2 linked regions of the Notamacropus eugenii genome follow. The protein of the gene in region 1 interacts with the protein of each later gene in a biochemical or structural test. Links are inferred from orthologs where the notes say so. Each region holds a gene or a part of one and is shown on either strand. Other genes may lie near its edges. The genes, in order: CD2 and CD58.

Region 1 (15,755 bases):
AACAAAACTGTGTATTGTCCTTCAGTGGAAAAAAGGATATTTAATTAGAGGACTTTCAAGCATTCCTGATGAAAAGACCAGAACTGAATAGAAAATCTGACTTTCAGACAGAAGACCTAAGGGAAGCATAAAGAGTTACGCATGAAAGATAAATCATTGGGGATTCAGTGAGGTTAAACTTTATCATCATTAGGGCAATTAGAAGGAGTATGTATAAACATGGAACACAGTTATGAATTAACTTTGATAAGATGATTTACAAAAAAATTTAAGGGATAAGAAAGAGGAATGCACTGGAAGAAAGCAGAAAGGAGAGATAGAATGGGGGAAATCATCTCACATATAAGAGATGTGAAAAAATAGCTTTTACAGTAGAGGGAGAAATGGGGGTGGGGTGACAGGCAACACTTGAATCTTAGTCTCCTCAGAATTGGCTCAAAGAGGGAATAACATGCATACTCAGTTGGGCATAGACATCTATCTTACCCCACAGAGAAGCAGAAGTGGAAGGACAAAGAGAAGGGTGACTGATAGAAGGGAGAGTGGATTAAGGGAGGCAGTGGTCAGAAGCAAAACAGACTTTTGAGGAGGGCTGGGGTGCAGAGGGGAGAGAGGGAAGGAGAAAGAGAGACAAAGACAGCCAAAGAGAAGGATAAACAGGGAATAAATAGAATGGAGGGAAATACACAGTAATAATGACTGTGAATGGGAATGGGATAAACTCACCTATTAAATGGAAGTAGACAGAAGAAAGAATTAAAAACCAGAATCTAACAATGTGCTTTTACAAGAAACACACATGAAACAGAGACACACAGAGAAAGTAAAAACAAAGGACTAGAACAGAATCTATTATGTTTCTGATGAACTTAAAAAAAGCAGAGGTAGCAACCACAATCTCAGACAAAGCAAAAGCAAAAATAAAACTAATTTAAAAAGATAAAAAGGAAAACATTCTGCTAAAATGTACCATAGTCAATGAGGTAATATCAGTACTAAACATATATGCAACAAATGGCAGAGTATCCAAATTCTTAATGGAGAAGTTAAATGAATTACAGGAGGAAATAGCCTTAACCTTAACCTCCTTCTCTCATAATTAGATAAATCTGATCATAAAATAATAAAAAAAAGAAGTCAAAGAGTTGAATAGAATTTTAGAAAAGTTAGATATGATATACCTCTAGAAAAAACTGAATGGGGATAGGAAGGAACATACTTTTTCTCAGTGGTACATGGCACTTTCACAAAAATTGACCATGTATTAGGGCATAAAAATCTCCCAACCAAAGGCAGAAAAGTAGAAATATTAAATGCACCCTTTTCAGACCATAATGAAATAAAAATTACATCAATGGCCATCGAAACATAGACTAAAAATTAACTGGAAACTAAATAATCTAATAACAAAGAATGAAAGGGTCAAAGAACAAATCATAGAAACAATCAATAATTTCATTAAAGAGAAGGACAATAATGAGACAACATACCAAAACTTATGGGAAGCAGCCAAAACAGTACTTAGGGAGAAATTTATATCTCTAAAAGCTTACAAGAATAAAGCAAAGAGCAGATCAATGAACTGGGCAAGCAAATTTAAAAAGTAGAAAAAGAACAAATTAAAAATCCTCAATTAAACACCAAATTAAAAATCCTGAAAATCAAAGCCAAGATGAATGAAACTGAAAGTAAGAAAACCATTGAACTACTGAATAAAATTAGGAGTTGATTTTTTATGAAAAAACCAATAAAGCATATAAAACCTTGGTTAAGATGAGATTTTCTTTCAAAAAAGAAAGAAAACCAAATTACTGAAACCAAATTTCAAAAATGAAAAACATGAATTCAATACCAATGAAGATGAAATTAATCAATTTCATATTAATCAACTCAATAAAGCAATCATTAAGAGCTATTTTGCCCAACTACATGCCAGTAAGTCTAACAATCTAAGTGAAATGGATAAATATTTACAAAAAATATAAGTTGTCCAAATTAACAGAAAAGGAAATGGAATACTTAAATAACCCTACCTTAAAAAAAAGAAAGTGAGCAAGTCATAAATAAACTCCCTAAGAACAAATCTCCAGTACCAGATGGATTCACAAATGAATTCTAATGAACATTTAAAGAACAACCAATTCCAATATAAACCATTAAGGAAAATAAGCAAAGAAGGAGTCCTACAAAATTCCTTTTATCACACAAATATAGTACTGATACCTGAACTAGGGAGAAGGAAAACAAAGAAAGAAGACTATAGACCAATTTCTCTAACGAATATGGATGCAAACATTTTAAATAACATACTAGCAAGGAGATTACAAAAGTATATGACCAGGTAGGATTTATATCTGGAAAGTAGAGTTGGTTCAATATTCGGGAAACTCTCAACACTGACCATATCAATAACAAAAACAATAAAAATAATCTCATTACATCAATAGATACAGAAAAAAGCCATTGACAAAATACAACACTCATTCTATCAAAAACATCAAAAAGCATGAAAAAATGGAGCTTTCCTTAAAATGACAAGTAGAATCTACCTAAAACTATTAGCAAGCAATATTTATAGTGGAAATAAACTGGAAACCTTCCCAATAAGATCAGGGGTGAAGCAAGGATGCCCATTTTTGCCACTATTATTAAATATTGTACTAGAAATATTAGCTATAGCAATAAGAGAAGAAAAAAGAAATTGGCAAGGAAAAAACTATCATTCTTTGCAGATGGTAAGATGGTATACTTGGAGAATCCTAGAGAATCAATTAAAAAACTAGTTGAAGTAATTAACAACTTTAGCAAAGTTGAAGGATATAATTAAACCCATATAAATCATCAACATTTCTATATATTATCAACAAACTCATCAGGAAGAGATAGAAGGAGAAATTCCACTTAAAATAACTGCAGACAATATAAAATACTCGGGAGTCTACTTGCCAAGAAAAACCCCAGAACTATATGAGCACAATTACAAAACACTTTTTGAACAAATAAAGTCAGATCTAAACAACTGGAGAAATATTAATTGCTCATGGTTAGGCCAAGCCAACATTATAAAAATGACAGTTGTACCTACATTAATTTACTTATTCAGTGCCATACTAAACTACAAAAAATTTTTCATACAGCTAGAAAAAAATAATAACAAAATTCATCTGGAAGAACAAAAGGTCAAGAATATCAAGAAAATCAATGAAAAAAATATGAAGGAATTTGGTCTAGCAGTACCAGATCTCAAACTGAATTAGAAAGGAGTAATCATTAAAAATCTAGGACTGATTAAGAAACAGAGTAGTGAATTAATGCAAGTGATTAGGTATACAATGAACAGTAGTATATGAGCATAGTAATCTGGTGTTTGATAAAGCCAAAGATCCAAACTTTTGAGACAAAAATTCATTATTTTATAAAAATTGCTGGGAAAACTGGAAATCGGTTTAAGAGAAACTAGATATGACCAATAGTTTTCACAGCATACCAAGATAAGGTCAAAATGGGTACATGATTTAGACATACGGGGTGATATCATAAGCAAATTAGGGAAGCATGGAAAATTTTACCTGTCACATATATGGATAAGGGAAGAATTTGTGACCAAATAAGAGATAGAGAGCAACACAGAAGCTAAAATGAATATTTTAGATTACATTGAAAGATTTTGCGCAAACAAAACCCATGCAACCAAGATTAAAAAGAAAGCAGGAAAAATTTACGGCAAGGTTCTCTGATTTCTCAAATACATAGAAAACTAAGTTAACGTTAGAAGAACACAAATCATTCCCCAATTGATAAGTAATCAAAGGATATAAACAAGCAGTTTTCAAAAGAGGAAATCAAAGCTACTTATAGTTCTAAATTGCTGCTGATTAGAGAAATGGTAATTTTAAAAGATCTGATATACCACCTAACACTTATCAGTTTGGTTAATATGACAGAAAAGGAAAATAACAAATGTTAGAGGGGACATGGAAAAATTGAGGCTCTTGGTGGAGTTGTGAACTAATCCAACTAGAGAGCAATTTGGAACTATGCCCAAAGGGCTACAAAAAATGTACATACCCTTTGACTCAGCAATACCACTATTCAGTCTGTATTTCAAAGAGATCAAAGAAAAAGGAAAAGGACCTATACATATAAAAACATTTATAGCAGCTCTTTTTTTGGTGGCAAAGAATTAGATATTGAAGGGATACCCATCAATTGGGAAATGCCTGAATAAGTTGTGATATATCATTATGATGGAATATTATCGTACTATAAGAAATGGTGAGCAGAAGGGTTTCAGAAAACTTGAGAAGACATCTAAGGACTGGTATAAAATGAAATGAGCAGAACCGAGAGAACATCATATACAGTAACAGCAATATTGTACAATGATCAATTGCAAATGACATCTCTGTTCTCAGCAATTCAATTATCCAACAATTCCAAAGGGCTTACAATGAAAAATCCTTTCTACCTCCAGAGAAAGAACTGATGGAGTCTGAATGAAAACAAAGCACACTTTGTTTACTTTATTTTTTCTTGTTTTTTTTTTTGTCTGTGTCTTTCACAATACAGCTAATATGGAAATTTGCTTTGCATGACTTCACATGTATGATCTATATGAAATTGCTTGCGTTCTCAAAAGGTGAGGGGAGAGAGGAAGGGAGAAAATTTGGAATTCAAATTTTTAAAAAAAAACAAATATTAAAATTGTTACATCTGAGAAAAAATAAAATAAGACATAAAAATTAAATATAAAAAGATTACAGGTAATACACTATTGTAAAATCAAACAACTTCAAAACACTTAGGAACTCTGATCAACCCAGTGGAGTCAACCACAAGTCCAAGGAACTCATGATGAAATATTTTGTACAGATAGATAGTTGGTGGATTCACAATGAAGATTAAAGTATATTTTTATTTTTTCTCTTCTTTTCTTTACTTTTTTGGGTGGATATGGTTATTGAAGGAATTTGTTTTACTTCACTATACACATTTATGGTTGTGTTTTTCTTGCTTCCTCAGTTAGTGAGGGAGGAAGATCTAGAGAAGTGAAAATAAAATAAAATTGAATTTTAAAAAAAGACTGTGAACTACAGAATAGCTGTTGATCTACATAAAGCTTCCTCATCAGGAGATACAGGTTTAGACTAAAGGGGAAAAAATACCAAGTTGGCCTAGCAGAGTGGATAGAATACCATAGAAAGAAAGATAAGTCTTTGTGCTGTAGTCTGGCCTCAAAGTCAGGAAGGCCTAGGTTCAAAACCTGCCTCTGACATTTACTCAGCCTCTAAGTCTCTACTTCTTCATCCATAATACGGAGATAATAATATCTCTAGTATCTTTCTCACAGAATTGTTATAAGGCTCAAGTCAGATAAAGTACAGAAATTGTTTTTACTCATTTAAAAGCATACATATATATATATATATATACATTTATAACTATATAAATGTCAGTTATTATGGTTGTTATGAACATGGTTAATTCATACCCGCTGCCAACTACACACCTGTACAGGGAGTTTGGTCCACAATCCACTCCTCACTGGCTTGGTTTTTCAGCACACATTTGAATTCCCTTGGTAGTGGGTCGTTCTTTGGCCAGGTGTACTTGAGCCTCATGCCCTCTTTATTCAAGTTCCCCATCTTTAGAGGCTGTGTCCCATTATCAAACAAGATCAGCTCAGCATTAGTCCCATTATGAACCTCACAAATTATACTTCCCTCTGTGCAGTTCCATGTCATTTCTGGCTTTGAAACAGCCTCTTTGAAAAGAAAAAAAAATAAAACTCCATTTACTTTGAGAACATCCCTGAATGGAAAATTGGTTCTAGTTTGTGTAGCCCACATGGACTCAAAGCAAAGTAGGGATTGGGAATATGCCTCTCAGGCCCTGGTCAGGTGTGAAAATCTTATGGGTGACAGGCCACTGTAGTTCCATTACATTCAACAAACATTTTAATGCCTACTGCATTGCAATAGAATATAAACTCCATGAGAACAGGGATCACTTGTTTTTATCTTTATAGCCTCCTGGCCAAGCACTGTACCTTGTACATAATGTGTGTTTAATAAAGGTTTGCTGAATTTAATTTGAGAACACTGGGCTAGGTGCTGTGGGACATGAAAGATTTAGTTAAACCAGTCTTTCCCTCACAGAACTTACTAGTCTAGTGGGACCATTTAGGAATAAGTATTTCCCAAGGCATAAAAGGTAGAGAAGGTGACTAGAATGTGAATGTATACCTACAGTAAGATTTTTACTTAGCTCGAAATTAAGATTGCTTCCTATGATTACTGGGGAAGACAAAGGTGCTTTGAGAATGGAAATGTAAAAAAAGAAGTTACCTTGTACTATTAAGGAGAAGGGGGAGGGAAAGGGTGGGCAAGAAGTCCTAGAAAGAAAATACAACAGGATGCTTCATGAAATAATGAATTTTCCATGCCTGGTAGTGTGTAAGAAGTGGTTCAATAACCATATGTTAGTGAGGTTACAGAAGGAATCTATATCACAGGTAAGGTATCAAGCTAAGTGAACTATAAGGTCTTTTAATTGAGATTATTTGACCTTGGGAAGATATTGTATCATAACTGAGAGGGTTGGCTTTGGAGTTGAGAAGACTAGTGTTCAGGTCTGACATCTGGGTGAGCTAGGTGGTGCAGTGGATAGAGACCAGATCTGGAGTCATGAGGACCTGAGTTCAAACTAGCCTCAGACACTTACTGGTTGTGTCACCCTTTGGCAAGTCACTTAACCCCAATTGCCTCCCCTTCACCAAAAAAAAAGCTTGCCTCTGATTCATATTTAGTTTGCAACCCTGGACAAGACACTTATAGCAATTTTGATTAAATGTAGATGAGTGCATAATCTTCATTGGCACAGGGTACATCACACTAGCACTTTCCTATGCCGATGAAATCATAAAGTCTGGGCATATTTAGGGAATTCCATTCATTTTTCATTTCATGTCATCTTCCTCCTGCAGCTAACAAGTTGCCTCATGTAGAAGCCTGGGATTAGGTTACTGAGGACATGGGAAAAACAACAGAACGAGGCAAGAATTGGGGTGGGGGGAGATCACATGGGGAATCAGGTCATCAGAAGACACCTTCCTCATGAAGTACATGACATGAAATTTCAGCTGGAGCATCCATCCATAGTCAAAACCTTATCAGCTTCCCATTTGTTTCTCCACTAACCAGTCCTTTATTAAAATCCCTAGCCAGGAAAAGACCATAGAAATGTTGATTGCCTGATGGGCAACCACCAATGAAGGAGACAGAGAAAAGGAATACTCACCTATCACATGCAGAGTCAATTCTTTCTCCAACACATTTCTGCCATTTTTATCATACACTGACACCTTGTAGTTTTGCTCAGAGGTTTTCTGCAGTTTTTTAATTTTCAAGGTTCCATTTGGGAATATCTCATAGTTGTGACTTTCATGGTTAGCCTTGGGAATATTTACATTTCCTTTTGCAATCAGAGTCGATCCTTCATACCACCGTATATCATGTTTATCTTGGTCCTTCGGGAGATCAGGGATGTTCAAAAGGATGGACTGATTTAGTACACCCCAAACATCATTGTTTTCTGCCATGACATCTGTTAAAGAAAGCAAGGACATTGTAGAATCATCAGATATCAGGAAACCATTGAAGAGATTGGGTCCCCCCCAAGGTCCCAGAGCTAAAGAACAAGCGGTTGAGCTGGGTCTACACTGTAGGTCTTACCTGACTTCTAATCCAGTGCTCTTAAAAGGAAAAAGAAGACAAGAGAATGTACAAGGGGATAGTCCCACAAGGAAGAGAAACTGTTTCAAATCCCCTTAGATTTCTACACTCAGAAGTTTGGTTTTTTTAAAAGCAGCTTCTCTAAATATCTCAGGAAGATGGAGGAACCAACAGAGACCCAAACAGTTCACTTACCTTTTGGGGAAAAGAACAAAAGAAGCAGGTAGATGACTAAAACGTGACTTTGGAAGTTCATCTTTGGAAGGTATCTCCAACTTGGGTTACCCAAAATTCATCAAAGTGAGAAGTGGCAATTCTCCAGCAGAACCGCTTGTCTTTCTGTTTCTCCTACATTTGTATTTAAGAGTTCAAACTACTAAAGGTACAGTATTCTAATTTGGCTGGGTGGAGATAGGGGGATGGGAAGGGTGGAGATCAGGGGAAGGATGCCAAGCTTGCTGTAGGCACAAGGACAGAAAAAGAGTTCTCTAAGCATAAACTGTCTTCAAATGTTCAGTGAAGGGAAACAGCAGAATTATGGGGAGGAGTTAGAGTATTCAAGGTCTTCCAAAGTTCATTCTACCCTCCTGCTCCCCTTTACGGCTTCTTCCCCCTTTTTCACACAGACAAGCAGGAAATGGAGCTAAAGTGGGCACTGTGATCTCACAAGATCTGATCTGTTTTAAGACTACTTGAGTGCTAGAAATTACATTACTGGCGCCCACCAGAGACTTTCTTGTTTTTGTGGCTTCTTACCTATAAATAGTGCCCAGTCGTAAACCCTTTGATAATAGAGGAATGATCTCCTCTTGCTTTTGTGAATGGTCTAACCAATATTCATGGAGAGTTCGCAGAGTGCTTTCTACACATGATTTTGTTTGATCCATACAGTAAGATTTTTTTAAACTTGGGCAATATCTTTTTTTTCTTGTTATTTGTCACACCCATAAGCACTATATTAATCCCTCCAATTATTTGTCATTCTTTATTTTTTCACATAAGTACTTTGCAATGTTACCTTATCTTAAAATATGTATTTAGAGAAGCGATTCTTAAACTTTTTTTGGGCCATGGACTTCTTTGGTAGTGTGATAAAGCCTATGGACTCCTCAGCATAAGGTTCAGCAACATTTCTGAGGTGGGGGCAGCAGGTGCTATTATCCCCATTTTCTAGATTAAGAGATTGAATGTCAATGAGTTTAAGTGACTTGCTTCATGGAAGTGCCAGAGATGGGATTTGAACTCAGCACTTCCAAATTACAGCTCCTATATTCTATCCACTACAATATACTGTTCCCACACCATCTTCCTCACTTCCTCATCCTGCCCTCTCACACTACCCCAACCCAGTGTGTCTGGAAGGGTTTGTATTCTAGCCTTTGACCGAAGGTTTAGACCATAAGTTCTTAACCTTTTTTGTGCCATGAATTCCGCTGACAATCTTGGGAAGCCTATGGACTTCTTTTCAGTCATGTTTTTAAATATACAAAATAAAATACACAGAATTACTAAGAATATAGGAAAATACAGTTATTAAAATATTTTAAAAAGCAAATACAATGGTCTCAGGTTAAGAACCCCTACAGGTTAGTTCCTACAGCATTCTTTCTTTCATTTCAATTTGGCAAACATTTAGGCCTGTATCCTGAGTACTGAGCTAAGCAGAGGGGACAGTTGCACAGTATAGATGGAATAATTACACTCAAGTAGGAGAAATATGACACATATGCAAATAACTATAATGCAAAATAATAAATGATAATTCCTAAGAGAGGTGCAAAAGTTATGTGATGTCCAAGGGAAGAAAGGTCAGTGCTGACAGAGAGCATCATGGGGCTTTTGGAGGAATTAGGTCAAGATTCTTTTTGTTGCTGTCAAAAAAAAAAAGAAAGAGAGAAGATCAAAGGATTATGGATTTAATGTTGCAAGGGAGCTTAAGGTCACCTAATACAATACCCTCCTTTCAAAAGGAAAGAAAAGGGAGGTGAGGTCCAGGGGGTGAGGGGACTCATCCAAGGTCACCCACACAGGTACGAAGAAGCAAAGTCATTATTTGAACCCAAATCCTCTGATTCCAAAAGCAGCACTGAACCTGGAATGCCTTGGCATCTGGAGATGCAGAAACTTGGAACTTCAAGCCAAGGTCTGTGTATGACCACTGAACTCCAGCGGATAACAGAGGAAGGGGAAGGTTGGTAAAATGTTACATTTACTAAAGGCAAAAAAAAATATAGGGGAGGGAGGAAATTAATCTACCTGGAAAGCAATCAAACATCAAGAAATCTACCCCACTAAAATAACAAGCTAGACCCCAAATTTTCATTTTGATTTACCCCATTATTTATGGACTGTCTCTTGAGTATGAAACATGGTGCTCCTCACATCCACTGGGATGTAAAGTGGGAATGTGTTTTGATGGCACCATTGGCTATGTGAACAATTGAAAGGACCCAGAATTGACAGAATCGCAGAATTTTAAAGTTGGAGTAGTCCTCAGTGACCATTTAGTCTGACTCAGGCCCCCAAAAGAAACTCTCCTATAAAAATCCCCCAAAGTGCCATCCAGCCCTTGAAAACCATTAATGACAGAGACTCCTGCAGTCACCCTTTCTGGCAGTACATTCTCCTTTTGGATAGTTCTCTCAGGAGGTCTTCCCTGACATCAGACCTAAATGTGCTACTTTATGACTTCCACCCATTTCTCCTGGTCCTGTCCAAAGAACAAATTGGATCTCTCCTCCACTTAACAGACCTGAAAATACTTAGCATTCATGTTCCCCACTGAACCTTCTCTTCTCCAAGTTAAACAGTCCTAGTTCCTTCAACCTATCCTATCTTAGGTAAAGCAAGGATTAAGTCAGAAAGTTCTAAAAGGGCAAGTGGAAGAATGGGAACCTAGATCAAATCCAGCCCAGGTGAGTGAGCTTCAAGGGTGAGTTGCCCTTGAGTCCATGCATTGTCCAAACAAACTGCCCTGTTCTAAAGCACCGTGAATCATCAGTCCATTGGGGAGAGTTCATTCTTTTGAAATTTCAAAATGTGTTTTGTAGTTATAAGGGAACTGATACCCATAGAACATCTCTTTTAACGGGAGAAAAAATGAAAATAGAAGCAAAACTCAGGGTTGATCGCAGATGGTGTAGCAGGAACTGCCCCGGCTGGGTCAACTTGAACATTTTAGAGGACCTGGCTTCAAATCTCCTCTGTGAGACCTTGGGCAAACCACGTAACCTACCTTAGCCTTTGTCATACTCATATTTAAAATGAACAGTTTTGACCACATGGCTTCTGAGGTCTCTTCCATCTCAAAATTTATGATCCAGTGATCCTTTTCCTCTCTTTAGCTCAATTTCCTTCTCTTGTAAAATAGGGGATGGACTTAATCATCAAGGTTCCTTTCCAGTCTAAGATTTAATAATTCTGTGATTTAGTTCACCTGATCTTCTCAACTAAAAAGAAAAAGCTTCTGCCCTACTTAACATTTGAAACATCTTCATCTCTGTGTAAGAAGGCTAGGAGATATCAAAATAAGAATCCTAACATGGGCAGACATACTCTTGCTGCTGCTGACCCATTCAGTGGCCTCCAGATCGTCTTTTCTTTGGTACCTTTGAGAAAGGAAGACATTTAGGGGGAAATTTAGGAAGGCCAACCAGGGTCAATCAATACACATCTTTTTTTTTTAATACACATCTTTATTACACACTTAATATTCATGTTCATAGGTGGGTAGGGATGCATATAATTTATGTATGTACACACATATATTTACATATATACATATGTGTATTCACACACATGCACACAAACATACACACACACTCCTGGGGGACAGCTAGGCAGCACAGTGGATAGAGTACAAGGCCTGAAGTCAGGAAGAACTGAGTTCAAATCCAGACACACCAGCTGTATGATCCTGGGCAAGTCACTTAACCTCGTTTGCTTCAGTTTCCTCATCTGCAAAATTTGCTGAAGAAGGAAATGGCAAACCCCTCTAGGATCTTGGCCAAGAAAACCCCAAATAGGGTCACAAAAGAGTCAGATACAATTGAAATGACTAAACAACAACAACATGATACAAAATGAATACAAGCTATTTTGGGGAAAGTACGCTAGCCATTGGAAGGATGAGGAAAGGTTTCCTATGGAAAGTAATGCTTGAGATGAGTCTTGAAGGAAATCATGGGTTATAAGAACCAGAGGTGATTGGACAGTGTATTTCAGACCCCAGGGACCTGAAATATAGAGAAAAACAACAGAGAAATACAATAAAGAGAAGGCACAGTAACAGGAAACTGAATGTCAATTCTTGGAATGGTGAGTAAGCCACCATGCCTGGACCAAGTCCAAGAAGAGTATGGCAGGAAAAGACCAAGAATGTAAGAAGGGTCAGGTTATAAACATATTGAAATGTCAAATAGAGGAATTTATTTTTGATCTTTGAAGTAACAGGGAACTACTGAAGTTTATAGAACAAAGGAATAACACAATCTGAACTGCTCTTAAAGAGAAGCTTTTGGCAGTTCTTTGGAGGACAGATCCAAATGGAGAAGCTTGAGGCAAACAGATGGAAGGCCATTGAGACAGGTCGGGTGAGAAGGAATGATGGCTAGGGTGATGGTGAGTGAATGGGAGGAGGAATGGATGCGAGAGAAGTTATGAAAAAAGAAACAAGACTTGGCAACAGATTGGCTAGAGAAGTGTTAGTGAGCAACCAAGGCTTGAATCAGAGTAAGTGCAAGGATTCAGCCCCTAAAAGTCTTCATATACTGCTCTTCTCAGTGGAAAGAAGATTGGAATAGGAATCAAGGCCTTAGACACCAGGCTAAGTGAGCACAGCTGTGTGATCCTCAGCAAATCACTTAACCCTGTTTGCTTCAGATTCCTCATCTATAAAATGAACTGGAGAAGGAAATGGCAAACCACTCCAGTATCTCTGCCAAGAAAACCCCAAATGGAGTCACAAAGAGATGGACACGACTGAACAACAAATCCCCCCAAAAGACCTTGTATAATATAGGTAGCCAAATTTTTGTTGAATTGAATTAAATTATGTACCTCTGTAACTCTCTCTACGTTGCTCCTACATTTTTCTCTTTTTCTATCATTGCCAGTCCTATTATGTACCCTTCTTTACTTTTCTCCCCTGTCCCTCTTAATTAACCATAAAATAGAACTGAAGCATATTTTTAAACATTTTAATGGTGTTAATATTTTGGTGTTAATATTTTGCATATTTATTGTGCTTTTAAAAGTACTTGTTCTATTCAACAAGCCCTTATTAAGCACTTACTATGTGCCAGGCGCTGTGTACATAAATAATTGTAATATTTTTAAATTATTTGTTATATGAAATTAATATCTTCTCTCTATGTAACACTTTACTACATACAGAGATGCTATTATTATCCTCATTCTTCAGATGTGGCATCTAAAATTCAAAAAGGAATGTAATTTGACCCTAGAGACTCAGCTAATAATTGTTGGCTGGCTCCAAATGTGACTTCCAACTCAAAGTCCAGTGTTCCTTCTAGTATATATCATACTGCTCTTGAAGGGCAATTTAGATATTTATTTATGTATTTAAATTTTAAATTCACTACACTTAATTTTTAAAAGTGATCAAGTTCCCTGAGACATAAGGTTCAAAGAATAAGAACAAACATTTCTCAAAAGACAAATTGTAAACTATTAACAACTACGTGAAAAAGTGTTCTAAATCCGTAATTATAAGAGAAATGCAAATCATACAACTTTAAGGTTTTACCTTACACCTAGAAAGGCGGCAAAAACAACCAAAGATGGAATTAATCAATGTGGGAGGGGTTGTGAAAAATAGGTATACTTGACACAGAAGTGTCAGATAAGCCCTATGACCACAGAAGCCCTCAATACTTCAAAGCATCCCCAACAAGATTAAAATATAATTGGGAAATTTTTAACAAAATAAATAAAATACAATAAAATATAGATAACATTTTAAAGCTAAGTCAATATGCACACGCACACACACACAATCCTTTTAAATGGATGAGTAGCCCTTAGTTTCTATTTCAATTTCCACTGCACTTATGCATTGTTGGTAGATCTTTGAATAAGTATAACCATTTTGGAACATAATTTGGAATTATGCAAATAAAGTCACTAAAACATTCATGCCCTTTGACACAAAGTTTTCTACTACTAGGCATAAATATCAAGGAGGTCATTGATTAAAAGAAAGTCTCCACATATACCAAAATATTTGTAGCATTAAGTTTCATGGTGGGCAAAAACCGGGACACAAAGTAGATGTCCACTGATTGGAGAATGGTTAAAAAAAAAAGTTGTGGTACATGAATATAATGGAATGTTTATGTAATGAAATACACCTTTAAGTCCCAACTAAAATCCTGCCTTCTACATGAAGCCTTCTTCAAACCTTCTTAATTCCAGGGCTTTCCCTCTGTAATTATTTCCTATTTATCCTGCATATAGTTTGCTTTGTATATATTTGTATGTTGTCTTCCCTAATTAGATTGCAAGCTCCTTGAGGGCAGGGTCTGCCTTTTGGCTCTTTTTGTCTCCCCAAGACTTAGTTCGGTGCCTGACACATAGTAGCTGCTTAATAAATGTTTATTGATTCATTCTGTGGCATAAGAAATGACTAATAGGATGAATATAGAGAGGCATAGAAAGACTTACAAGAACTGTTGCTGAGCATACAAATACAGCGATGTCAATGGAGGGAAAAACAATAAAACACAATTGAAAATAACCATCCCAAAATGACAAAGTACAAACATGGCAACAAAGGACAAATAAGAGAAGACAGCTCCTCCAACTCCTTTGCAGAGGTGGTAGATCTCCAGGTATGGAACATTGCATATATTTTCCAATTTTTTAAATATATTGATCAGATTCCTTATTGTTTTTACTTCTTTACTTTTAAAACTAGTTTGTTATATGGGATAGGTTTCTGGGTGATAGAAATAAAAAGAAAGATATTCATAACATTGACTTTTTTAAAAAGTTGAATGCAATTTCTTCCTCAAAATACAAAACTAAAAATTAAGTTGCTTTTTACTTATGTATGGTATAATGCAAAGAATACTGAAGTTAGAAGGTCTAGGTTCAAACTCTGCCTCTGAAGCTTTCTACCTGTGTGACCTAGGGGCAAGTCACTTCACCTCCCTGGGCCTCCATTTCCTTATCTGCACAGTGAGGGGGTTGCACTTCATGACATCTGAGTCCCCTTCTAATCTCAGATCTCCGACCCTATAAGTGTCCAGTTCACATCAGATCAGATGGAGAACAAGGAGGAATGTACTATTAAGTGCATAATGTCCATTTGGGTTATAGCACTGAGACATCCTAGGCACACTGGGGGAAAAAAGCCTTCCCTTCCCCCATTCCTATACGTTTCAGTTCTATCAGACTCTCCATTACTTCCCCGATGCCAAGGTTAGCTAAAGACAAAATTCTTCAATAAGCCCTCCAGGAAGAGGCATCACCTCGTGGCTCACTGTTTCCCTCTGCTGGGCTCAGTCACCATCATCTTATCAACACAGGTTCTTTCCCCTAGCTGGTTAACACCTCAGGCTGACTCCCAGGAATATAGACTTAAAGTGGGAAAAGGCCTTTGGAGGTGATTAAATCCAGCCTCTCATTTTATGTATAAGGAAACTAAGGCCCAGAGCAGGGAAATAGTATGTCCTACAGAACAGAACAGTATAGCCAGGATTCATGCATACCTGTTCTTTACCCTAATTGTCACCCTTGTTTTGTCCCTATCAACCTCTGAGCTTCCTTTCTTCCCTGATCAATCTTGACCCCGTTGATCACTTACTTTGATCATGACTTCTCCTCCACTCTTGCCTTCTCCTTCTCCTTCTGTCATTTCCACTCCAATTCTTAACCTTGTGGAACCCTTATCATTCATTCATCTCTCCTCTCTAGAGACAGGTAGGTAGCCCAGCAGGGCAGCTAGGTGGTTCAGTGGATAGAGTGCTGGGTCTGGAGTTAGGAAACCCTCATTTCAAA
Region 2 (15,570 bases), about 270 kb from region 1:
GCAGTCCGGTAGCTATCAAATCAAGTCAAGATCAATTATCAAAGGACTTGCCATTCAGACTCTGAGTCAAGTCAACAAGCATTCATCTCAATCTACTACATGTCAGGCAATCGTGTTGAGTAATGAGAGTACAAAGCAGGATACAAAAGAGTCCCAGCTCTCAGTCTAATGGGGGGAAAATTAGCAAACAACTACTTTTGCATGGCATAGTGACTTGCCCAGGGTCACATAGCTAGTAAATATCTGAGTCTAGGTCAGGAATTCTTGACTCTGGGAACAAGATATAGACAGAACGAATTGGAGATAACTTCAGAGGGAAGGTGCCAAAGTTAATATCTATGTCCTGATAGAGATCTGCCATTTTTTAATCAACTGAAGCCAACCCAAGTGGTACAATGGATAGGAAGATTGAGTTCAAATCTAGATTCAGATGCTGGGCAAGTCATTTAATCTCTGTTTGCCTCAATTTCCTCAAATGTAAAATGGAGATAATAATGGTACCTACCTCAAAGGTTGTGAGGATCAAATGAAATATTTGTAAAAAAAAAAAAAAATTCCATGAATATTTTCCCCCTCCCTTTTTAATTATATCCCCGGTGTCTTGAACGTAGTAGGAACTTAAGAAAACAATAAATCTAAAATGGGAGTGGCTCTTAGAAATCCTCAAGTCCAATCCTTCTATTTTACAGATGAGGAAAGAGGTCTGGAAAGCTTTAAAGGTTTACCCACATCACCTATATAATAAACAGAGGCCAGATTTGAACCCAGGTCCCCTGACTCACTGTACCACACTACCCCTCAATAAAAATTTATTGTATTAAATGCTATCCCTCCACTCCCAGGTAGACTATACACATCTTCAGAGAAAGATTTGGGTTGGTTCATTTTTGTCATCTTTTGCTTTTGTTTTTATACCATCTACATTTTCAAATATATCAAATATATCCCTCTTCCACCTTCCTGGCAAACTAAGTGGAACAGTGGATAGAGCACCAGACCTGGAGTAAGGAAAGCTTGAGTTCAAATTTGGCTTGTGACACTTAGCTGTGCGATCCTGGGCAAGTCACTTAACCCTTTCCATCTCAGTTTCCTCCTCTGTAAAATGGGCTGGAGAAGGAATTGGCAAACCACTCCAGTATTTGCCAAGAAAACCCTAAATGGAGCTATGAAGAGTTGGGCATGACAGAAATAACTGAACAACAAAACCACTTTCATATTCACAGAACCATTTCCTATTACATAGAATTTTATGGGGGGAGGGGGAGATGGAGGAGGAAGAACAGTTCAACAAAACTTACCAACTGATCAACTGAGTCTGAGACACATGCAATATTCTACTCCCAGAGCCCCTTACCTCTGCAAAGCTGAGAAAAAGGCCCATTTTCCCCTTTTTTCCTCTGGGATCCAGCCAGGTAATTACAATCACACAGCATTCAGGTTTTTCTGTAGTCCCAGAGAGTGATTTTTTCATTTACAATCAAGGTGCATTTTGTTTTGATGATTCTCCATTAAATGCCCTCTAGTTAGGTTAGTCAGCAAACATTTCTTAAGCCCTTATTAACTATCCCTGAGGGTTTACTAGATAAGGGAGGTAGGTGTCAAAGGAGATAGAGGCTAGGCCAGGAGTCAGGAAGACTCAAATCTAGACTTCAGATGTTCCCTGTGCAACCCTGGGCAAGTCACTTAACCGCTGACTGCCTCAGTTTCCTCAACTGTAAAATGGGATAATAAGAGCACCTAGATGCTCCAGTTGTTGTGAGAATCAAGTGAAATATTTGTAAAGAGCTTAGCAATAGTTCCTGGCTCATAGTAAGTGCTTAATAAATTCTTATTCCCAACTCCCCTATGTGTCAAGTACTAGTACAAGTCTGTGAGGACTAGGTAATAGTACACAGATAAATAAATAAATGAATGATGAATTAAACTGATGAGGGAAATGACTCAGCAGAGTATATAGGCAGAGGGTGATAGCACCTATCATGAATTCCTCCTATAACTTGCAAATCCAAAAGGCAGCACACAATCATCAGGCCAGCCCTACTCTGGCTGCGACATGTCAAAGCTATCTCTCTCAACCTTCCCCTGGTTGAGTTTCAGCCTACAATCCCTCCAGGGAGGTTTCTCAATTCTCAAAATTCTCAAACGAGACCTAGAAGAAGTAGGGGGGCAAAAGTATGGATGGAGGGCCATGATCAGATTTCTCTGAATTTATTAACATTTCTTCCTGAAAAACTGGTCAAAACTGGGTCTGAGGATGATTACAAAAGAGAAGTTTCCAGTAACGTTTTTGTTCTCTGGAGATCATTTTGATGGACAACATCCATTTAGATTTAGAAGAGATCCATGAACTTGGTTTTTAAAAATATTTTGATAACTTAAAAAAATATAAATAGTTTCCTTTGTAATGTTGTATGTTTAATTTTATGCATTTAAAACCATTATTCTAGTAAAGAATATAGGAGCAGCTGGATGGCTTAGTGGATACAACGTCAGACCTGGAGTCAGGAAGATTCATCTTCCTGAGTTCACATCTGGTCTCAGACATTTCCTAGCTATGTGGCCTTAGGCAAGTCATTTATGCTTGTTTGCCTCAGTTTCCTCATCTGTCAAATAAGCCGGAGAAGGAAATGACAAACCATTCCAGAATCTTTGCCAAAAAAGCCCAAATGGGGTCACAAAGAGTCACATATGACTAAAAAAGACAGAGCAACAACAGATGTCTTGCGAAACAATTTAAGTCTCCAGAGTAAGTCGTTTTTACCTTTATTTTACTGTTCAAAAAAGCAGAAAAATCACGAGAAAATTTACAAAAAAAAAAACCATCCCAGAGGAATAAGACAGACATCCTTAAATCAGTTTTTCAAAAACAAACAAACGAAGCCTTAAACCTTACAAGAGAACCTAGGTGCCTTACAAATGTACTTAAAATATTCATCAAAATCTCTAACTTTCCGAGTACCTTTTTCGGGAAAACATCACATTCCAGGTTGCTCTCGGTAAGGCACCTGACACTCATGATATGGGTGGAGACACAAAAAAAGTAGGTCCAGTAATAGTAGTTAGTAGGATTCATAGCTAATGGAAAAATACCAGCCTGAAGAATGTGGCTTAATGGAAAGAAAATGGACCATGAAGGGAATATCTTGATGAATACTTCAACACTCCACATGCCTATTCCTGTTCAATACTTACTATCAATGGCTTAGATGAAGATACGGCCATAGTAGGTGATTAATAAATGCTTGTTGGTTGATATCTTGATAAGGCTTTTGCCAAGGACCCAGAGGTGGGAGGTAGGGATGGCAGACTGGATAACAGTCAGGATTTATTAGATTTAAAGCTGGAAGGAACCTTAGAAAGGTTATCAAGTTCAACTTCCCCATTTTACAGATGAGGAAACTGAGAAACAGAGAGACTTAGTGATTTGCACAAGGTTACACAGCTAGTTAGTAAGTATCCAGGGGCAGAACCCAAACCTAGATGTTCCTGATTTCAAGTTGAGCATTTTATCCATTATTTGTGCTGCCTTATTTCAACAGGTGGACAGGATGAAATTTAATATAGAGAAATAAAAATGCCTGCAGTTTAATGAATTTTTAAAAACTCTACAAGATGAGAAACATATGGTTTAAGAAAAGTTCATCTGAAAAGGATCTGAGAATTTTATTTTTTTTTCCTTTTTTTTTTTTTTATTAAACTTTTAATTTTGGGTTACAAATTTTCTCCCCTTTTTTCCCCCTCCCCCCCCCAGACCCAAGTTTTCTAATTGCCCCTGTGACCTATCTGCTCTCTCCTCTATCCTCCCTCCCTGCCCTTGTCTCCGTCTTCTCTTTTGTCTTGTAGGGCCAGATAGCTTTCTTGACCCCTTAACCTGTGTTTCTTGTTACCCAGTGGTAAGGACATTACATTTGGTCCTAACACTTTGAGTTCCAACTTCTTTAGCTCCCTCCCTCTCTACCCCTTCCCCTTGGAAGACAGGCAGTTCAATATAGGCCATATCTGTTTAGTTTTGCAAATGATTTCCATACTAATTGTGTTGTATAAGACTAACTGTATTTTCCTCCATCCTGTCCTGTCCCCCATTACTTCTATTTTCTTATGGTCCTTTCCCTCCCCGTGAGTGTCGACCTCGTATTGCATTCTCCTCCCCATACCCTCCCCTCTATCCTCCCCCCCTTCCTGCTTGTGCCCCTGTCCCCCACTCTCCTGTATTATGAGATAGGTTTTCCTATCAGAATGAGTGTGCATTATATTCTTTCCTTTAGTGGAATGTGATGAGAGTAGATCTCATGTTTTTCTCTTGCCTCCCCTCTTTATCCCACCACTAATAAGTCTTTTGCTTGCCTCTTTTATGAGAGATAATTTGCCCCATATAACTTCTCCCTTTCTCCTCCCAATATTTCTCTCTCACTGCTTGATTTCATTTTTTTTTTTTTAGTATATGATCCCATCCTCTTCAATTCACTCTGTGCACTCTGTCTCTATGTATGTGTGCGTGTGTGCATGTGTGTGTGTGTGTGTGTGTACTGAGAATTTTAAAAGGTCACAAACTGGGGGGCAGCTAGGTGGTACAGTGGACAGAGCAACTGCCACGGAGTCAGGAGGACCCCAGTTCAAATCAGACCTCACATACTTATTAGCCATGTGACCTTCCACAAGTTACTTTAACCTGATTGCCTCAAAAAAAGAAAGATCATAAACTCAGTGGGAACATGGTGAAGTTGCTTTAAAAAAAGATTCCAATATTTTTTTAAAAACCAGATGAATAGATGTGTAATGTTCTGATTCCAATAAATAATTATCCCATTGTACTGAGGGTTAGTCAGCCCACATCTGGAAAACTAAGTTCTATTTTGGAGTTACATATAAAAAAGACAATGAGACCATGTCAGAAATGACAACTAGAATGAAGACCAAACCCTATCGCACAAGAAATGATGAAAAGATGCGTTTCCTTTGGCATGTTTCACTTGGAAAAGACAACGGGTAAGGGATCTGTCTTCAAATACCCCAAAGGTTTTCATGGAAAGAGGACACTTTTGTGCTCTATTCCAAAGAATACACTTAGGACTCTTGGGCTACTGGGAGGTAAATGTTAAATTAACATAAAGAACTTTCTATGTTTTAGAAATCTACTTTGAGCTGTTTTTTTCCTGTTTCTCCACCCCAGGGGAGTAGGTGGTGCAGTGGATAGAGCACCAAAGCCTGGAGACAAAGAAGATCCGAGTTCAAATATGGCCTCAGACATTTACTAGCTGTAGGACCCTTCAGCAAATCTAAAACCCCCCTTTACCCTGAAAATCCTAGGCTCCTAAGATTTGTTCCATAAAAAGCAAAGTGCTAGTTGCTATGGCAAAGATAATGTCTAAGATGGGCTCTTCACTATAAGAAGCATGAGTTTCAAAATCCTGAGTTCAGATCCAGCCTCAGACACCTACTAGTTGTGTGACCCAGCAAGTCACTATTTGACTCAGTTTCCTCATCTGTTAAACGGGAATAATAATAGCACCTACTTTCCAGGATTATTGGGAGAATCAAAGGAGATAATAATGTAAAGTGATTGGCACAGTGCCTAACATATATGCTATTTTTTTTCTGTTGGCTATGGAGAGCCATGGAAGATTTTCTAGCTGGAGAATAACATATTTTAGGAAGATCCGGCTGACATCTCTGGTAAGGATGAATTGGAAGGTGGAAAAATGGAAAGGTAAGTGATTACTGCATTGAAACAAGCAGTCATCAAACAATATGAGGCAGACTGTGAGTTCCCCAACTAGGAAATCAAAGGAAAAAATAGATAGGAGGAGGAAGAAAGTTAAGCTCACCCAAGAAATCTTGGAGGTTTACAAGCCACCTTGTCTCTTGGTTTTCCCTGTCTTATCCTACAAAGTGGCAATTTCATTTGACAATGGGGTGTAGGCTGCTCCTGACCTGGGTCAGAAATGAAAGATTCATTAAAGCTATCTGAAAGCGCTACCCAGTTTTGAAAAGAAAAGAGTGGTGAAAGTTGGGGGCGAGGGTGGGGGGTGGGAGAGAGCATAAGAACTCAGTTTTTGGCAAGGTTTTATCATCTGGGTGGCTGTGGACATGCTGGCCCTGTCCCCCAAAGTGCATCTTCTGCGCTTTGATCAAGGTCAAGTGCCCAGAAACTTCTCTCCACAGTTTCCTTACTTTATTGTGGAGACAGGGAGGAAAGAAAAAGGGGGAGGAGATTTTGTTGACTTTGTTTTTGTCGGAAACTGAGAGGCCAGAGAGGCAGAAAGGGTGGGGAACAGACAGGGAGGCATCGAGAGGACTCTGAGAGCAAACCACAAATTTGGTATTTTTCTTAGGATTGATCCAAATTCGGCTCTGGATCTTTCAGCAGGAGATCCTTGTCCAGCAGCATGCTTGCGGCGTCCCTACTTACGAACAACTTCCCCTACTGTTAACCCGGCTGTTTATCTGGGAGGGATGCCTTCCGACTCCCAAGAACCATCCCACTCCCCAGCCCGAGTTTGGTGCAGTGCAGGGCGCTGGTGGATAGGAATTCCCAATTTCGTGATCTAACGCTATCTATCTCTGGGCCGTGGCCGGAGAGCAAGGCCAGACTTACCGAAAAAGATGGCCAGTAGCACTGCAAATTCCAATAGGATGTTCCTCACACAAAATTCTATCGCCATAGAGCCACAGATCTCGAACGAGAAAAAGGTGAGATGCACTCTCTGGTAGAGGTAGCTGGAGGGTCTGAAAAGGAGCCAAAAGAAATTAACTCCCCACTTTCTCCACTTTAAAAGGGCCAGTCCCAATACACTCCTTTCCCCTTCCTTCCTCTTTCACCCCAACCCACATAGCTCCAAGATCTTGTTCTTTAAGTGCGGGGTTCCCCCACCCCTTTTATTTATTTCCCTTCCCTCCTCGGCCCCCTCTCCCTTCTCCCCACTCCCCGCAACTCCCCTTAGTAAAACTTACGGAGCGGAGAAAGTTCGATTGGTCCCTTTCGATTTGCCCCCGTTTGGGTGTATGATTAAAAATAGGTCTGTCTCTCGTTGTTTCGGTAGCCACGCAACTCGTTTTCAGAACGCGCCTTTGGCAAAAACTGTTTCTCAGTTTGGGTGCGGTACTTGTCAGATCAGAGACTAACAGGTTCTGGGAACCCGCAGGATCTGCCTCCGAAGCCCGGAGAGCCGGGAGGAAGGCCGAACTGAAAAGTGGGCGTGGCTTGATGAGGTAAGACTTGTCCTGAGAACAGCTGATATGATTCAGCCAGTGTTTCTTTATTACAATTGGGGAGGGAGGTGTAGAAGGGGGGCGGGAGGAACCTAGAGAGAAGCCGCTTTTACTTTAGGGATTGCTATCAATCGTAAGGAAAAGCAAGCACTGCCTGTACTACTTTACTACAGTCTGTTCCTTGAAATTCCACGCTGCTTAGCCCCTGCAGCTTTTCGAATTCTCAAGCGTGGGATTCAGAATCTCATCTCACTTCTCTAACTAGTTCTTTACTTACCTTTAACGCATCCTCTGCCATCTCAGAGCCCTTGAGGGTCCCCCATCAAAATGTCCTGAATGCCTATCCTATGACTAGCAAACTCTCACTACACCTAATTCTGGCCACGCAGGATCCCTACGGCTGACCCATGGTTATCAACATGGGACGTGCCCTTGACAAGTCCCCATCCCCCTTTTCCTTCCCCTCCCATTGTGCCCACTGGGACAACATTCCACTGAACAGCCTCCCCTCCATTCTTGTCTTCTCTCTCTTGTCTTTTGAAATTAATCATCTGGCTTTCCCTCTGTTCCTCCCTCCCACCCCCCAATCCAGCCGATCCTTGGCTGTCCTATCCAGGTCTGTATGTACCTTCTCTTGACACCAGGCACACCTCAATAACAGCCCTGCATCAGATGTTTATAAACATTTCTAGCTCCTTCTGCCTCATTCAACAACCTCTGCTTGGAGGCTCAAACTCAGTCAAATCAGGAAGCATTTCCTAAGTGTCAAGCAAAGAACTGGAAAGTCAAATGCAATGTAAGGGATGTCAGAAGACAGTGCCTGGTCAAGGGTATGATGAACAAAGATGTTCAGAGAATAAGGGATGGGGCCCAGAGAGGAAGAAAGGAGTTAACATGACTGGTCTGTGGGCCCTTCCTTAAAATGGAGGTTCTGGGAGGAAATGAATAATCCCCCATGGCAGTACTTGGTTCAAAGGTTTTGAAGGGCAGAGGAGTAAAGGGTATGGCGTGTTGAAGGCAGGAAGACCTGTCCACTAGCTAGGTGACTTTGGGTGAATTCTTGAACTTTTCTCTGAACTCCACTTCCCTTTTTTGTAAAATGAGGAGGCGGGGCTCAACCTCTAAAGCCCTTCCTACTTCAAATCGATCATCCCAAAGTCATTCTTTCCCCTTTCTCAGGGAGTTACCTAGCTGAATCACAGCCTTTCTCTCCACTCCAACAACTTCTCATTCTTGGGAACTTCAATATACAGGTTGATGCCCCCTTAAACAACCTGGTCTCCCAGTTCACCAGCCTTCTCAATCAAATCCCATGATTTGTGAAGACTGTGACGTCAGCTCTACCCAGAATCTGGTGGACAATCTGGTGGATACTCTGTAATTCAGGCCTGACTATTACCCATCCATCCATGTCTCTAAGTGCTACCCATTCTGAACTCTAGTTTTTCCTCCCTCTGGCTGTCACTCTTGTTGTGGCTTCATTTTCCTCCCTTCTCAATCTTAATCATATAATTAACCAATTAACTCACTGTCAACTCTCAGATCTTTAAACCTGAACCCAGAGTTACCTAGTCTTCCTTTTCTCCTACTCTTACACTGCTGAAGTTCCTGGAAGAGCTTTGACAACCATTCTGACTAGGTCCAAGACATATTTGTTAGCTCATCTCAGTTAGGTCCTCTTAACTATACTGTAATCCTTTTACTCTTCTAATTTACTCTTTATCCCAGGGGGTCATGACCAGTCATCCTGACCTATGCCTTGCCATTGGACCCTGATGATTCTGAAGGAGAGAGGTTAATGACTTTGCACAGATCTGCCTCACTTAAATCCAATTCACTTGCAAGTCCAGACATTACCCTCCTGATGTCATTGGTGCTCTCAGAGAATGAAAGACAAACAACAATTCGACAGAGGCTTTTCCAAACCTTCTGTCCTCAAGCTTCCTCCTCCTCCTTCTCCAACTCCCTCTCAGCAGATGACCTTGGCTCATATGTCCCAGAACACCTCGACATCATCTCCCATTCTCTCCTCACTTTTGTGAGTCCCTGAAAAAAGGGAGATCCTTCTCACCAACAATACCAAGTCCAACCCCTGTACCTGTGCCCATGATCCCATATCATCCTGTCTCTTTCTCCAACAGCTTTTCCCTTTGGTCATTGCCCCTTCCTCTTTAATCCAAAATCTTTTCCTAATATGGGGTTCTTCTGCTGGCTAGACATATCCCAGTCCTGCACATAGTTGGTCATACCGTGGTTTCCTCAGCTCCTCGAGAACAGGGACTGGTTATTGGGATGGGGGAGGATGTTATTTGTTTTTGTTTTGCCTTTCTTTGTATCCCTAGAATTTAGCTTACATTTAAATGCTTGACTTTATCACTAAAAAACCTTCACTTGAGTCTTTATCCATTCAAATTGTCATCTTATGTCTCCTCCCTTTTTATAGCCAAACTACTAGAAAAAACAAGCAACCTCCCCTTCCTTTCGTCTCATTCAGTTTCTCATCCTATTCTAACCTAGCTTCTGAGTTGATCACTTGACTGAAACACCTTTATTAGAATATCTTAATTGCTCAAGTAGGCGACCTTTGACCTTTGACAGGTGACTCCCCTTTCCTTCCCTGAATTTCCATGACACATCATCTATCTGTTCTCCTACCTGCCTTCCTAGTCTCCTCTGGGGGATCATTTTCCATGTCCCACCCTACTAACCGTGCTCCAGGTTCACAATGGTCCATCATCCTTAACTCTTCATTCTCCCTCATCCCCCACAGATAATCAGTTGTCAAGTTTTGCTTATTCCTCCTCCATATCTCACTCTCTTGTGTTTTCTCCACTCACAGGGCCACCTCCCTTAGATTAACCCTTCTCCATCTCTGGACTGAATATTGCAATAACCTCCTAACTGATCTGCTTGCTTCTGGTCTTTTTCATTTCCAATTTATCCTCCACACAGCTGCCAAATTGATTTTCCTAAAACACCTAAAGGTCTGATTCATTGCTCTCCTTCAGAAGTTTCCATGCCTCATTTTTTGCCTTTAGGATGCTCCTCTGTCACATGAAAGCCCAACCCATATTTCTAGACCAATATCACACCTCTCCTCCCCACCCTTTGGTTTCTAGAAAAACTGACCTAAATTCCATTCCTATTAACAGGCTGGCTGGCTTGCTTCACCAAGCTTGGAAAATCTCTCCCTTTCCTCCTCAGACTCTTAGGATACCCAATCTCAGTTTTGGCCAAGATCAAATGTTGTCTTCTACACAGGGTCTTTCTGATCACCTCCTCCCCTCCAAATTATCTTACTTACTTTCTACATACTTTGTATTCCCTTATACATGTCTATGTGCATGCTCGCCTGCACAAGCTCCTTCAGGCAGAGGAGGTTACAGGTTTCTGGTTGTTTCTGTCTTTATATCTCAAGTACTTGGCACATAGTAGATACTTAATAACAGCTTGGGGAATAAGCAGATGAATGAGAAAGGCAATACTCTACATATTTTTAAAAATAGCTGAAATGACTAAGTCATTTTGAGTATGATAAATATTCATATCAACTCTGAAGGACCTGTGAAGGAAGAGGCTATCCACATCTAGAGAAAGAACTGTTAAACCCAAGGACGTATGGCATGGTTTTACACACAGATGGTCATATTTGTGTCTAATGGTAACCTTCTCTAGGGTGGGATAGGGACGGAGGGAAAAAAATGTAAAAGTGCACAGTAAAGAACAAAAGGAAACGTAGACGTTTGCACAGAGAAGTAGAGCAGCTTTGAAAATGATGGGTGGTTTTTAATTACGTAGTTTAAAAGAAGCCAGCTGTGAAATGGAAATTCATGCTTTTGTATTGAATCCTCTCCTTATGTTGTACTGTGTACATGGAAATGTTTTTTTTTTTTGCCTTTGAATTTAAGTTCAAAATGAATAAAAAATTTTGGAATATCTGAGGGAGAGAGATGTCACTTTTTTGAGGGGAAGGAATATTAAAAGGGGGTAATCCTTCCTCCAATCATAGAGAAAGTGGTACCTGACATGAATTCTGAAGGAACGATGGATAAATGTAAATGATACTGAGCAGTCAGAAGCAGAGCTGAGGGAGGCACCAGTACCAGAGACATTGATCAGGAGTGAATTACATCAAGGGGCCTATTGAAATAAATGGAATGGGTAAGGCCAGTGAGGGAGAGCAGAGAGATTAAAAAGGGAGGGAGAGAGACAGACAGACACAGAGAGACAAAGAGAAAGACAGAGAGACAGAGACAGAGAGATACAGAGAGAGACAGAGAGAGATGGTTGAAGACAGAGCCTTAGAAGTACCTATATTTAGAGGGCAGCAGGGTCAGGATGGGACAGCAAAAATAGAGTGGTAAGAGAGTTAGATTAAAGTGTCACAGAGAGGGAGAAAAGGTGATCAGTGAAAGGATGGTCAACAGAAAGGTCAAGGGGGACTCCCCTGGGAAAAGGCTATTCAGTGTGTCAGTCAAGAAATCATTGGTGAGCAGTTTAAGTAGAGTGATGAGAACAGAATTGCATAATGCAGGGGAATGAGAGGAGGGCATTGAGAAGAAAGAGACAGTGACTATGGTATCTTGATAAGGTCACAGTCAAAGGAAGGTTTTAGGAGTCTAAAAAAAACCAAATTAAGTTCTTATATTGTCAGCAGAAGGAAAGGAACCAGCAGAGAGAGAAGGACTGAAAATTAAGAGAGGGAACAGCTGGGAGATGATGGGTCCTTGATTAGGAGAACCTATCCTTCGAGGCTGGAAGGAAGAGTGAATTAAGGCAGGGAGGTCTGAGAGATGAAGAATCTGGCCTGGCTGTGCCTGGCCTTTGTGAAAAACAAGCAAACAAAACAAAGGATACATATCAATTTTACAAAGACAAATATGGAAGCAGATAACTGGGGATTCAGGGATAGGTAGCAAAGGATGATCCAAGCGGGTGTCATCATTCAGTAAAGGCAGAACATAAAAGATCAGAATGAAGGAAGGCTAGCTATGGCCTAGTGTTCTACTTCTTTGATGACATTGAAAGAAGAAAGATCACAGAAGGGATGAGGCCAAGGGAGTCCTGAAGAGTATTTAACCGACTCTCCAGGAAAAAAAAAAAAAGGTGAGCAGGACACATATTTACATATGACCTGCAATAGTAGCATTTTCTCTTTCACTTTCATAAATTTGGACCAGAGGTAGGGAAACCTAGGGCCTCAAGATCACCTGTGGCCTTCTAGGTGGTCAAGTGTGGCCCTTTGACTGATTCCAAACTTATTAAGGGGATTCCAGATCCCCTTAATAAAAGGATTTGTTCTGTAAAACTTGAACTCAGTCAAAAGCCCACACTTGACCACCTAGAAGGCCACAGGTGACCTTGAGGTTGAAGGTTGGCTAGCCCTGGTCTAGACAATCACCAAATAAGCCAGGCCCTGATTTGAAGGTATGCGCATATGAAAAACTGAGCAATCAGCTGGTACAGACTAGCTCAAGCACTCTGCCCCAAATAGTGTGACTGTCAGGGTTATAAAATGGACAATGGAAATGCAAAGCTGGGAAGGTAGAACCACTCAGTTTCTATTTTCTCCACCATGGGTTTTTTGATTTTTTTTTTTTGTTTTTTGGCAAAGAGGTTTAAGTGACTTGCCCAGGCTCACACACCTAGTAAATGTCTGAGGCCAGATTTTGAACTCAGGTCCTCCTGACTCCAGGGCCAGTGCTCTATCCACGGTGCTACCTAGTCATCCTCCATCATGATCTTTTAACTACCATGGCTCCATTCTTTTCCATGCCAGTCAGTTTGCCCATCTCATCATCTGCCTGTTGCTGCTGAATTGACCCTCCTCACCTAGATCACGACTATCAACAGGGTACCTGAAACCTAGACCTCCAACTTGGAGTCATCCAACCCCAGGTCTGAGGAAAGTTAATCCTTTCATCTTAGGAGTTCCCCTCTGAAGGCCCACTTTTGTCCACTGTATCTACAGGCTAATCTTAGACATCAGCCTCCCATCCAGCCATTCAACCAGGTCATTTCACTGTCACTGTACCTTCACTTACTCCCTTTTTCTTCCCCAGAACAAAGCATCATCCCTGGTCAGGACTCCCCTATAATGTGTTATTTTCTCTTTTTAAAATAGAAGTTTCTGATGTTGAGAGAAATGAGCAGAACCAAGAGAACATTGTCCACGGTAACAGTCACATTGTATGACGCCTAACTTTGATGGACTTCTTTCTTCTTGACAATACAAGGATCTAAGATAACTCCAGAAGAGTCATGGTGGAAAATGCTGTCTACATCCAGAGAGAGAACTACGGAATCTGAATGCAGATGGAAGCAGACTATTTGATCTCTTTTTTTGTCTCTTCTTTCTCATGGTTTCTCTCATTGATTCTAACTCTTCTGTACAACATGACTAATGTGAAAATGTGTGTGTTTATCCTTCGTTGCTGAAGAAGAAATGATGACATGACTTGCACTTGACTTTGTTTTGAGGGAGGGAGGGCTGTGCAGGTCACCAGCCTCACTTCTCTTCCAGAGCCATCTAAATCCAGTGACCAGATATTCATCAGGATGACTGGAGATGACCCAGGATGAGGTAATTGGGGTTAAGTGACTTGCCCAAGGTCACACAGCTAGTGACTGTCAAGTTTCTGAGGTGAGATTTGAACTCAGGTCCTCCTGACTCCTGCACTGGTGCTCTATCCACTGCATCACCTAGGTGCCCCAATGTGAAAAGAGGTTTAATATGAATATACATGGAGCCTATATCAATTTACATGCCATCTTGGGGTGGGGGAAGGGGAGAGATGGGGAGAAAATTTGGAACTCAAAATCTTATGGAAGTGAATGCTGAAATGTTGAAAACTAAAAATAAATAAATAAAATAAATTTAAAAATATATGTGTATGTATGTATGTATGCATGTATGTATATAATCCTTGAGGACAAGGGCTGTCTCTTTTCTAATATTTGTATTCCCAGCACTTAGCACAGTGTCTGGTATGCAATAGGTGCTTAAAAAATGCTTTTTCATTCTTTCATCCATCCATTCATGGAAAAACAGTAAGCAGGAAGTTGAAATAGAAGACAAATTGCTACTCCTCAATGAATTCTAGCACCAGGCCTGAATGAACTGCATCCCAGGTTACTGAGTGCCAAGCCTCCTTTGGTGATCATTTTAAAGACTGCGTGTAGAAGGAGAGATACTTCAGGGCCAGGAAGGGGCAAATGTGCCAATTAAGGGGAAAAAAGAAAGAGGAGAAGGAAGATTCTAGAAGTCATAGATCATTGACTTTGACCAGAATTATGATCTACAAAGTCCTCAAAAGGCGGAATCTAATGAAGTGAGATTCAGTAAGGAAAAATGCCAAACTCTACATTTGGGTTTAAAGATCTAACTTCATGAGTTTAATATGGGGGGGGGGGGGGGACGGGGAGCCAAGATGGCGGAGTAGAAAGATACACATATGCTAGCTCCTAACCCAGAGCCCATAAAATACCTGTAAAGAAGAACTCCCAACAAATTCTGGAGTAGCGGAAGCCACACAACAACAGAGTGGAGGAGATTTCTGTTCCAGAGAGACCTGAAGGACCAACACCAAAGGTCTGTCATGCACCGGAGCTGGAGCAGAGCCCAGCCCTGCCTTGGCCGAGCGGCACCAAGGGGAGCAGATCTGAGCAGGCTTCAGGGACAGAATCTCCAGTGGCCGAGCAGGTCCCTCCACCCACAGGCACCACAGGTCAGTGAGACGGTCTTTTCAGCTCGCCAAGAAGGGAGCAGAGTGTCCCTATAACTGAGGCCCCCTCGGGAGGCCGCAGCACACAGGGGCTCCCAAAGCAGGCAGGAGCCTGGATTCATTGTTGAAGGTCTCCACATAAACCCCCTGAGGGAACTGAGCCCTGTGTGGCGGCCCTGCCCCCACCTGAGCAGCTGAACTTAATCTCACACTGAATAGCAGCCCGCCTCCGCCAAAAGCCCTGAGGCTGGGGAGCAGCATTTGAATCTCAGCCCCCAAGCACTAGCTGGGCGGAACTGGAGGCAAGGTGGGTGTGGAGAGGAAACTCAGAGGTCAAGTAACTGGCTGGGAAAATGCCAAGAAAAGGGGAAAAAAATAAGACCATAGAAGGTTACTTTCTTGGTGAACAGATATCTCCTCCCATCCTTTCGAATGTGGAAGAACAAGGCTTACCATCAGGGAAGGACATAAAAATCAAGACTTCTGTATCCTAAACATCCAAAATAAATATTCAGTGGGCTCAGGCCATGGAAGAGCTCAAAAAGGATTTTGACAATCAAGTTAGAGAGGTGGAGGAAAAACTGGGAAGAGAAATGAGAGATATGCAAGAAAAGCATGAAAAGCAGGTCAACACCTT

The links.
Region 2: the proteins of CD2 (region 1) and CD58 form a complex in vitro, tested with the Homo sapiens proteins (3 studies listed by BioGRID and IntAct, with this or other methods). The link is inferred for Notamacropus eugenii from reciprocal best matches to the Homo sapiens genes CD2 and CD58.

What each region holds. Positions count from the first base shown.
Region 1 is NC_092873.1:296,543,717-296,559,471, reverse strand, and holds the start of CD2 (T-cell surface antigen CD2), read right to left. Parts: upstream 8,323-15,755; 5' UTR 7,990-8,322; coding exon 7,929-7,989; intron 7,606-7,928; coding exon 7,300-7,605; intron 5,765-7,299; coding exon 5,510-5,764; intron 1-5,509. UniProt on the Homo sapiens protein: CD2 interacts with lymphocyte function-associated antigen CD58 (LFA-3) and CD48/BCM1 to mediate adhesion between T-cells and other cell types. CD2 is implicated in the triggering of T-cells, the cytoplasmic domain is implicated in the signaling function.
Region 2 is NC_092873.1:296,273,774-296,289,343, forward strand, and holds the start of CD58 (lymphocyte function-associated antigen 3), read right to left. Parts: upstream 7,212-15,570; 5' UTR 6,952-7,211; intron 6,727-6,951; 5' UTR 6,663-6,726; coding exon 6,596-6,662; intron 1-6,595. UniProt on the Homo sapiens protein: Ligand of the T-lymphocyte CD2 glycoprotein.